Linked DNA regions of Saccharomyces cerevisiae S288C. Changing the gene in region 2 together with the main gene of any one other region gives a genetic interaction. Each region holds a gene or a part of one and is shown on either strand. Other genes may lie near its edges.

Region 1 (3,210 bases), on a different chromosome or scaffold from region 2:
TTGGTTGGTCAAATTGGGTAGCTTGGACTATGCAGGTGGTTTATGTGTCCATTTAACATCTGGACATGGTGGTCTAGTTTACGCTTTGATACTGGGTAAGCGTAATGACCCTGTTACACGTAAAGGGATGCCCAAGTACAAACCACATTCCGTCACCTCGGTGGTTTTAGGCACAGTGTTCTTATGGTTTGGTTGGATGTTCTTTAACGGAGGCTCTGCAGGTAATGCAACTATACGAGCATGGTACTCTATTATGTCCACAAACTTAGCTGCTGCTTGCGGTGGCTTGACATGGATGGTTATCGATTATTTCAGATGCGGAAGAAAGTGGACTACAGTTGGTTTGTGTTCAGGTATCATCGCTGGCCTAGTGGGTATCACCCCAGCCGCCGGGTTCGTGCCAATCTGGTCAGCCGTTGTCATTGGTGTGGTTACTGGTGCAGGATGTAACCTTGCTGTTGACTTAAAGAGTCTATTGCGCATCGATGATGGTCTAGATTGTTACTCTATCCATGGTGTGGGTGGTTGTATTGGTTCTGTATTAACTGGTATCTTTGCTGCAGACTATGTAAATGCCACTGCAGGCTCTTACATTAGTCCAATTGATGGTGGCTGGATCAATCATCACTATAAACAAGTTGGTTATCAATTAGCAGGTATATGCGCTGCACTAGCCTGGACTGTTACTGTCACATCTATCTTGCTTCTAACTATGAATGCCATTCCATTTTTAAAACTAAGATTAAGTGCTGATGAGGAAGAATTAGGTACCGACGCTGCTCAAATTGGTGAATTTACATACGAGGAATCCACTGCTTACATCCCAGAACCAATCAGATCTAAAACATCGGCACAAATGCCACCTCCTCATGAAAACATTGATGATAAGATTGTGGGTAACACAGACGCAGAAAAGAATTCTACGCCTTCCGACGCTTCTTCTACTAAGAACACTGACCATATAGTATAATGATATACTCAAGCAGACTATGATTTTATGTTTAATCTTTATGTAACGCTTCATTTAATAATTTTATTTTTAATATTTGATATATTTTCTTTTTTTGATAACTCCGAATGATGAGGGGAGACGTTAGTATTACTTCTCTTGTCTTATGTTATTATCATAATCGATGACTTTAACTGTGCACACTATAATATACAGCATCTCCAGAGCATGATAGCAAGAAATTTTCTTTAAGAAAGCCTCTATATACCCTATATATGCTGTTAACAGGAAAAGAGCACAAGGTTTATTTTGCTTTGGTTGCAAATTTTCATCGCTTATAGAAGACATATTTTGATGTAAAAACCTTGATATACTTCCTTTTTGCCTTATCTTTCACTGTTTCCATCTCTTTTCTTTTTTTTTTTTTTTTTTTTTTTTTTTTTTTTTTTTTTTTTTGAATCTTAAAATTCTCGAAACTGCACTGAAATGGCGCAGGAAACTGACCTCATCGCATGCCAACGAAGATTGAAAAAAATTAACATATAAGGCTTATGAAAGCGACATCTTTTGCAAATGAATAATTGACAAGCAGGCCTGTGTATTTATAGTTATTTTGAAATAATAACTACCATTAGAACTAACAAAAGAAAAGAAAAAAAAAATAATGGTTTCTGTGGAGTTTTTACAGGAGTTACCAAAATGTGAGCATCACTTGCATTTGGAAGGTACTCTAGAACCTGACCTATTGTTCCCATTAGCTAAAAGAAACGATATAATTCTACCTGAAGGTTTTCCTAAATCGGTCGAGGAATTAAACGAAAAGTATAAGAAGTTTCGTGATCTGCAGGATTTCTTAGATTACTATTATATTGGTACTAATGTCTTGATTAGTGAACAAGATTTCTTTGATTTGGCGTGGGCCTATTTTAAAAAAGTTCACAAACAAGGCTTGGTCCATGCTGAAGTGTTTTACGACCCTCAGTCACATACATCTAGGGGCATCTCCATAGAAACAGTCACTAAAGGTTTCCAAAGAGCTTGTGACAAAGCCTTCTCTGAATTTGGTATTACATCCAAGCTAATTATGTGTCTGTTAAGACACATTGAACCAGAGGAATGTTTGAAAACTATCGAAGAAGCTACCCCATTTATTAAAGATGGTACTATCTCTGCCTTAGGATTAGATTCTGCTGAGAAACCATTTCCCCCACATTTATTTGTTGAATGTTACGGAAAGGCCGCCTCATTGAATAAAGATTTAAAACTAACTGCACACGCAGGTGAAGAAGGCCCCGCTCAATTCGTCTCGGATGCTTTAGACTTGTTGCAAGTAACAAGAATCGATCACGGTATCAACAGTCAATACGACGAGGAGTTATTGGATAGGTTGTCGCGCGACCAGACCATGCTAACTATTTGTCCTCTCTCCAACGTGAAGCTACAAGTAGTCCAATCCGTTTCAGAGTTACCACTACAAAAGTTTCTTGACAGAGATGTTCCATTTTCTTTAAATTCTGATGACCCCGCCTATTTTGGTGGTTATATCTTAGATGTCTACACTCAAGTTTCGAAAGATTTCCCACACTGGGACCATGAAACATGGGGTCGTATCGCTAAGAACGCCATTAAAGGTTCATGGTGTGACGATAAAAGAAAGAACGGTTTGTTAAGTAGAGTGGACGAAGTAGTCACTAAATATTCGCATTAGTACCATTTGCAAGACATTGTATAATATTTTTGTTGAAAGTCTTTTTCGATTCATAAGCGCTTTTTTGTAAATTTATAACACTATGTGTATGCACAAATTTCATTCGATGTTTTTGATGCTTTTTACATCCCCTTTTGTGTGGGAAAGGATACAATAGAATTCTACAAACTTATTTGAGTGATTATACGAGCATTAGCTGGACCTTTTGTATTTCACGAGATTACAATTCGGGAACTATCAAAGTACACGTTAAAATTCAGCTCGGGTATGTTAAGTACTAGTAATTACCTCTGGTACCTACTGACGTAATTCCCACCCTTGGGACCTTGCGGAAGCGCCTGAGTATTGCTCTTTCTATTTCCGTTGTACCTTTGATTTTCATTGGCTCTATGGGCAGCACCGCTATCTCGTGTATTTCTATAATCTTGCGTTTGAAATTTGTTTCTAATTGTTTCATCCTTCTTGAATCTTTTATTCGGCTTTTCTTCATTTTCTGAAGGCGAGTCGCGCTTGTAAGATGAAGCTTGGTAAGGGTTGGCTTTGCTGCTGTCTT
Region 2 (3,759 bases):
GAAAAGTAAAAATTTGAGCGAAAAAGAGGATAAAAATCACATTGAGGCAGAGTGGTTAAGGTAGCTGTACCAGTCATTTTGAATACATTTTTCTGGATGTTCCATCAATAATGGATTTTTATACTACTGATATCAACAAAAATGTTGTGCCTTTGTTCAGTAAAGGAACAGTAGCAAGAACAGCATCAAAAGCACAGTATCCATCATGGTGCAACAACGCGTTAAAGTTAACTAATATTCTTCTTAAATCTCTTCGATGTAAATTTCAAACGAACCGCTGCGAGGATGATCGAGGTTTTGAGGTATATTGTGTTATTTTAAAAAGCATCGCTTTATTAATGGCCGCGAAAGAATCATTGATATTACTACAAATACCTCCTTCTTTACCATCAGGATTTCCATTTCGTTCACCCCAACTGTCATTTACATATTTATCAACCCGTCTTAGTGGGAGCCAACACAAATCTACGCATTCTCATCACATCAATCATCAAACTCATCCCATTCATAGTAGCAGTAGCAACAGTAATAGTAATAACCGTATTCCTACAAAAACAGATTCCTCCAAACAGCATACACAGCATTTCTCTTTTGCTAATGCGGGAGCCTCCAATAGAGACGAACTGCTATCAATCGTGCGCAAAATTGATAAATCTAATTTGAAGTGTTGTGACTGCGGTAGCACCGCAACAGTAGAATGGGTGTCAATCAATTTATTGTGTATATTGTGTATCAAATGTTCGGGCGTTCATCGATCTCTGGGTTCACATATCTCCAAAATTAGATCTTTAACGCTGGATAATTTCACCTCGTTAGAGTTGATGCATCTTTTACAAAATAATGTTTCCAATAGTAATGTTAATGCCATTTATGAAAGCAATCTCAGGAACTTTCCAGTTAAAAAAATAACTGCAAATTCTGATGACTCGGAAAGATCCAAATTCATTATTGATAAGTATCAATTTAAAAAGTTTGTTATCGACAGCAACCAAGGCAGAGAGGCTTCTTTGAAGTCTTTAATTAAAGCTATCCATTTAGATAGTGTTTTCATGATGCAAAGAGCCATCGCCCAAAGTAAATATTCCCTAAGAGAATTGACGGCAAGCGAAAAAGAGCAGAATGATCTAAACCATTCTTCCATTTTTCAATATTCCCTAAAGCACTATGAAATTGTTGATGGAACGCCCATTTTTTTTATTACAGAATTTTTATTGTGCAATGGTATTCATATAGATAATTTACCGAAGATTACTACGAATTGGTCTCCAAAGGTTTTAGAATATTGGGAAACTAAGTTGGAGATGTACGGAACATTCCAAGCTGTAAATACTTCTCGTCCAAGATCAGGGCCGCATTTAAATATGCATTCAAATGTAGATTCAGCTTCGTCCTACAATAAGAAACACGATTTGAGAGTTAACATACCTGAAAGAAGTGCCTCAGCAAGTAAAAGGTGGAGTTTGAGCTCCATTCCTAAGTCTTCTCAAAATTTGATGTCCCCAACAAACTTATTAACAATGCATAAGTCTTTAAAATTGGCCAAAAAGGACAAAAAATAACATATATGATAATTTAACTGTATTTTTTTCCCTTTTCTAATACTTTTTCCTCAAGTTATATTTCGGAGCTGTCCCAGGTTCGGAACAATGCGGCATCAGGGATAAAAAAAAATGACACATAAAAACGAAAAAGACACAAATTCCATTTTTTTTTTTTGACGCGAAAGAATGACACTACTTTCTTCTATTGTAACCATTTCTAACATCGATATTTTACTTGTTAGTTCAGATATATACTAAAGAGTCACTTAATATACTGTTTTTGTTTATTATCTTGGTTCCAACTGCTTCATTTAATATTTCCTATCCAAAAAAAGCCAGCTAATTCTCTTCTTTTTTTTTCTTATTTTGCCATTTTCAATATTATCGATTTAGTGAACACCTGGCTAGTCAGTTGTCTTAGCAAACATTTCTCAAAAGAAAGCAAACCAGCATTTGCTTTTTAAATTTAGTTTTTTTACTAGCTAATTCATTTACTAAACAACAAAAGAAAATAGCACAAAATGGAAAGCAAAGAAATATCAATTAGGTCAAGAACCCCTCCATCGAAGCTATATTCCATCCAATCATGTATTGGCAGAGGTAACTTTGGTGATGTGTATAAAGCAGTGGATAGAGTTACGCAAGAAATTGTGGCAATTAAGGTGGTCAACCTGGAGCATTCCGACGAAGACATTGAACTGTTAGCACAGGAAATTTTTTTTCTGGCGGAATTGAAATCTCCTCTTATTACAAACTATATTGCAACAATGTTAGAAGATGTCTCTATGTGGATTGTCATGGAATATTGCGGCGGTGGATCATGTTCAGATTTACTGAAGCGAAGTTACGTCAACGGTTTGCCTGAAGAAAAAGTTTCCTTCATTATTCATGAAGTCACCTTGGGTTTGAAATACCTGCATGAGCAAAGGAAAATTCATCGTGATATCAAAGCAGCTAATATTTTACTAAATGAAGAAGGTATGGTTAAGTTGGGTGATTTCGGAGTAAGTGGCCACATTCGTTCCACTTTGAAAAGGGACACTTTTGTAGGAACGCCGTATTGGATGGCTCCGGAAGTTGTTTGCTGCGAAGTTGATGGGTATAATGAGAAAGCAGATATATGGTCCTTGGGTATCACCACCTATGAGTTACTCAAGGGCTTACCCCCATTATCTAAATATGATCCTATGAAAGTTATGACTAACTTACCAAAAAGGAAGCCTCCAAAATTACAAGGTCCCTTTTCGGATGCAGCAAAGGATTTCGTAGCTGGTTGTCTTGTTAAAACACCTGCTGATCGGCCATCGGCATATAACTTGTTATCATTTGAATTTGTTAAGAATATCACCATAACGAACTTGAAAAGTGATGTTGATCTAATTAAACAGAAAAAGGTTCAGGAGAGATATACAAAAGTTCCCAAATACCCTCTTCAAAATCGCTTGTATAAAAACAGCAACACAGTGAGGGGAAAGGAATTTTGGAATTTTGAATCGACAAGACTAAGCACAACACAAATTTCCAAAGAGGAATTATCTCCCATTACACAAGACTCTCCAACATCATCTTTAAATATGGAAAGTCCTTATTTACTTCATGGGCAAACTGTAACGCCGATAACCAACCCAAGTTCTTCATCATTTAGAAAATGTACGCAACCAGTTTTCGAGCTTGATTCAGGAATGGATATAGATTCAGGCTGCCCAAATGCTCAAGCAGAGACCGAAATAGTTCCTCTCTCTAATCATAATAAGAAGCATAAAAAGAACGATATTCAGGCGTTGAAGATAGAAAAGTTTGACTACTTGAAAAACATTGTATCTCATATTCTCAACAGAATGTATGATCGTGCGCGCGACGATGAAACAAGAAAATACGTAAATGAAATGTTAAAGCAATTCATTAAAACTGAGGCAAACGTTCCTGGATTTAATGAGGTTTTTATAGAAGAGATCTCACTAAGAATTGAAGCAATAAAGAAAGGATTCGTTTAAAAAAATAGATATATATATATAATGTGTGTATATGCATGAGTTTTTGTTTTCCATTCTCTTTCATCTTCAATAAATGAAGGATGGATATATTGAATTATATAACAAACAGTAAAAAGTCATGTGTTTTTGATTATTTACCTGCTTATTTCTCCCTTTTTTTTTCGATTCTTTTTTTCTGATCGAGCGTTTATGTCTTTACTGTCCCGTCATTGATGCGTCTCAAA
Region 3 (3,759 bases), on a different chromosome or scaffold from region 2:
ATAAGTGTACGTTGAATCCGGATTTCTGTTTTTGGCAACATTTACGGCCCAAAGTGCAACCACAAGAGAAATTATATCGTTTAGCATATGGAATGAGTCCGCGATTAGAGCCAAAGAGTGAGACAAGTACCCGGTAGTTATCTCGATCCCGAAGAACACTGTGTCTAGCAGCAACAAGGATATAATTTTTACCTGTTTGCTTCCGAGTTTCATATTTACTCAATCTTTCCGTACTTTGTGTTAACTTTCTTTCTATAGCTATGCAGAACTATTCTGAGCAAAGTGAAAATAATTGGTTACTAAATAGAACCAGAAATGCTTTTCGAGCTCCCACGTAGAATATATAAGACCAATAAATTCCTTTATTGTACGGATATTCTGCATTACAAATGAGTCTTCTGCTTTATGCGGATCGTCAGCTTATATTGCCTTCGTACAGAAAATGAAAATTCACTACTGGAAACGGGTGAGCGGATGTATGAGTGTATAGTATACACCCGGTTTTTTTTACCCTTTCTAAGACCGGAGCTGGCGACAGTAAGTGATAAGCGGCCGTTGGCGGCCGTGGGTGAGTTATGCATGGGAACCAGCATGAGCCAGCGATGTTCACTATAAAGAGATTAAATGTAGAAAGTGCTGAGAGACCGATCGATTGGTAAACTTTTCAAAAGGTGGCCTTCTCCACACTTTCTTTTTCCCTCGTTCACTCTGCCTTGATCACATGCTTTTTTCTATGGTTAACTTTGAAAAATTCGTTCCATATCGCCCGCCACAAGTTAAAACCAGATATGCGTGGGATATAGTAGGGTGGACTGTTAAGTTAGCTATAATGGGCTTGTACTCTTTTTGAATACAAAAACCACCTTTCTACACCTTAATACAAGCGGTGGTTGGAAAGCATTCTTGATATATATAATTATATGAGTTTTGAAAAAAAGTACTGGGCATCATTTAAATAAGCGGGCTAAACTTTGTTTATGTTTAGGTTAACGATAGACATATTTATTTTTTTTTCTAGGAATAAAAATGAAGAACGGGAAGAAAAGGAAAAATGAAAATGAAGAATATGAAGAGTAAACCTACTTAAAAAAAAAAACCATACTTTAGTATTTAATGTAGCTACCACGCGTATTCGATACACTATTATTTTTCTTGACTTAGTATGTCAATTGTAGGTAGCCTCATGATGCCCTCTTGATCTAAGCGCGGTGAAAGTCCGCAGGCAATTGCTATAATACTGACAAAATTTATAAGGGGAGAGGGTCTTTTTTCGGTCCGCACGGAGCGGGCGAAGAAAACGTAGCGGTGAGAAAAGAATACGTCACCAAAGTATCAGAAACGTCACTGCGTTGTAGATGTAAGACCGATCCACTTTGCCAGCTGCTTACGCTGCGGAAAGTAAACAGACCTAGCTAGCGGACCGATAGAGCCGGCTGAACTTTATAACAAATGCGCCTTCTAACAAGCGATGAAGCCATGCTTAGCGCGGCAAAGAGAATTACTTAGAATATGGATGATGCAGCCCTGTCATATTCTTCCATAAGGGAATGACAAGGACAATAGTAAAGTCGATCACGCCCTGTCAGGAACATGATCTCCGCCATGTGAATATTTATGCATGATACAGGCACGAATACATCATATAATACGAATGACACAGGGGCACCCACCCATCGCATATCAGGAGAACTTCCCTGTGCATACGGGACAGCAGAGATAGGCTGTTCTCGCGCGTTTTTTTTTTTTTTTTGCTTTTTTTGGTTCCTTTCGCGGATATCGTATTATCGATATTACAACAAAAATGTTTGGAGATCTCCTTCGCTGTCTTTAAGTAAAAGGCTTTAACCGCTTATTTTTCTCTCTTTTTTTCCTTTTACCCCTCACTTGTCGTGAGACAATTGTAGTATATTTAGTAAGTATAGAAAGTTCTTGTTGTTAAAAAACTCGTTAGGATACAATAAAAACTAGAACAAACACAAAAGACAAAAAAAGACAACAATATGGTTGCTCAATATACCGTTCCAGTTGGGAAAGCCGCCAATGAGCATGAAACTGCTCCAAGAAGAAATTATCAATGCCGCGAGAAGCCGCTCGTCAGACCGCCTAACACAAAGTGTTCCACTGTTTATGAGTTTGTTCTAGAGTGCTTTCAGAAGAACAAAAATTCAAATGCTATGGGTTGGAGGGATGTTAAGGAAATTCATGAAGAATCCAAATCGGTTATGAAAAAAGTTGATGGCAAGGAGACTTCAGTGGAAAAGAAATGGATGTATTATGAACTATCGCATTATCATTATAATTCATTTGACCAATTGACCGATATCATGCATGAAATTGGTCGTGGGTTGGTGAAAATAGGATTAAAGCCTAATGATGATGACAAATTACATCTTTACGCAGCCACTTCTCACAAGTGGATGAAGATGTTCTTAGGAGCGCAGTCTCAAGGTATTCCTGTCGTCACTGCCTACGATACTTTGGGAGAGAAAGGGCTAATTCATTCTTTGGTGCAAACGGGGTCTAAGGCCATTTTTACCGATAACTCTTTATTACCATCCTTGATCAAACCAGTGCAAGCCGCTCAAGACGTAAAATACATAATTCATTTCGATTCCATCAGTTCTGAGGACAGGAGGCAAAGTGGTAAGATCTATCAATCTGCTCATGATGCCATCAACAGAATTAAAGAAGTTAGACCTGATATCAAGACCTTTAGCTTTGACGACATCTTGAAGCTAGGTAAAGAATCCTGTAACGAAATCGATGTTCATCCACCTGGCAAGGATGATCTTTGTTGCATCATGTATACGTCTGGTTCTACAGGTGAGCCAAAGGGTGTTGTCTTGAAACATTCAAATGTTGTCGCAGGTGTTGGTGGTGCAAGTTTGAATGTTTTGAAGTTTGTGGGCAATACCGACCGTGTTATCTGTTTTTTGCCACTAGCTCATATTTTTGAATTGGTTTTCGAACTATTGTCCTTTTATTGGGGGGCCTGCATTGGTTATGCCACCGTAAAAACTTTAACTAGCAGCTCTGTGAGAAATTGTCAAGGTGATTTGCAAGAATTCAAGCCCACAATCATGGTTGGTGTCGCCGCTGTTTGGGAAACAGTGAGAAAAGGGATCTTAAACCAAATTGATAATTTGCCCTTCCTCACCAAGAAAATCTTCTGGACCGCGTATAATACCAAGTTGAACATGCAACGTCTCCACATCCCTGGTGGCGGCGCCTTAGGAAACTTGGTTTTCAAAAAAATCAGAACTGCCACAGGTGGCCAATTAAGATATTTGTTAAACGGTGGTTCTCCAATCAGTCGGGATGCTCAGGAATTCATCACAAATTTAATCTGCCCTATGCTTATTGGTTACGGTTTAACCGAGACATGCGCTAGTACCACCATCTTGGATCCTGCTAATTTTGAACTCGGCGTCGCTGGTGACCTAACAGGTTGTGTTACCGTCAAACTAGTTGATGTTGAAGAATTAGGTTATTTTGCTAAAAACAACCAAGGTGAAGTTTGGATCACAGGTGCCAATGTCACGCCTGAATATTATAAGAATGAGGAAGAAACTTCTCAAGCTTTAACAAGCGATGGTTGGTTCAAGACCGGTGACATCGGTGAATGGGAAGCAAATGGCCATTTGAAAATAATTGACAGGAAGAAAAACTTGGTCAAAACAATGAACGGTGAATATATCGCACTCGAGAAATTAGAGTCCGTTTACAGATCTAACGAATATGTTGCTAACATTTGTGTTT

Evidence for each region.
Region 1: mutations in SPS1 (region 2) and AAH1 together harm fitness more than expected from each alone (negative genetic interaction), as found in Saccharomyces cerevisiae (2 studies listed by BioGRID).
Region 3: mutations in SPS1 (region 2) and FAA1 together harm fitness more than expected from each alone (negative genetic interaction), as found in Saccharomyces cerevisiae (2 studies listed by BioGRID).

What each region holds. Positions count from the first base shown.
Region 1 is NC_001146.8:357,983-361,192, forward strand, and holds AAH1 (adenine deaminase), read left to right. Parts: upstream 1-1,613; coding exon 1,614-2,657; downstream 2,658-3,210. Other genes in the region: ammonium permease MEP2, read left to right, coding at 1-970; YNL140C (uncharacterized protein), read right to left, coding at 2,935-3,210; THO2 (Tho2p), read right to left, coding at 2,942-3,210. UniProt on the Saccharomyces cerevisiae protein: Catalyzes the hydrolytic deamination of adenine to hypoxanthine. Plays an important role in the purine salvage pathway and in nitrogen catabolism.
Region 2 is NC_001136.10:1,485,342-1,489,100, reverse strand, and holds SPS1 (putative serine/threonine protein kinase SPS1), read left to right. Parts: upstream 1-2,062; coding exon 2,063-3,535; downstream 3,536-3,759. Other genes in the region: GTPase-activating protein AGE1, read left to right, coding at 111-1,559. UniProt on the Saccharomyces cerevisiae protein: Serine/threonine protein kinase required for spore wall development.
Region 3 is NC_001147.6:907,343-911,101, forward strand, and holds the start of FAA1 (long-chain fatty acid-CoA ligase FAA1), read left to right. Parts: upstream 1-2,000; coding exon 2,001-3,759. Other genes in the region: metal cation transporter COT1, read right to left, coding at 1-213; YOR316C-A (uncharacterized protein), read right to left, coding at 384-593. UniProt on the Saccharomyces cerevisiae protein: Activates long-chain fatty acids (LCFA) by esterification of the fatty acids into metabolically active CoA-thioesters for subsequent degradation or incorporation into phospholipids.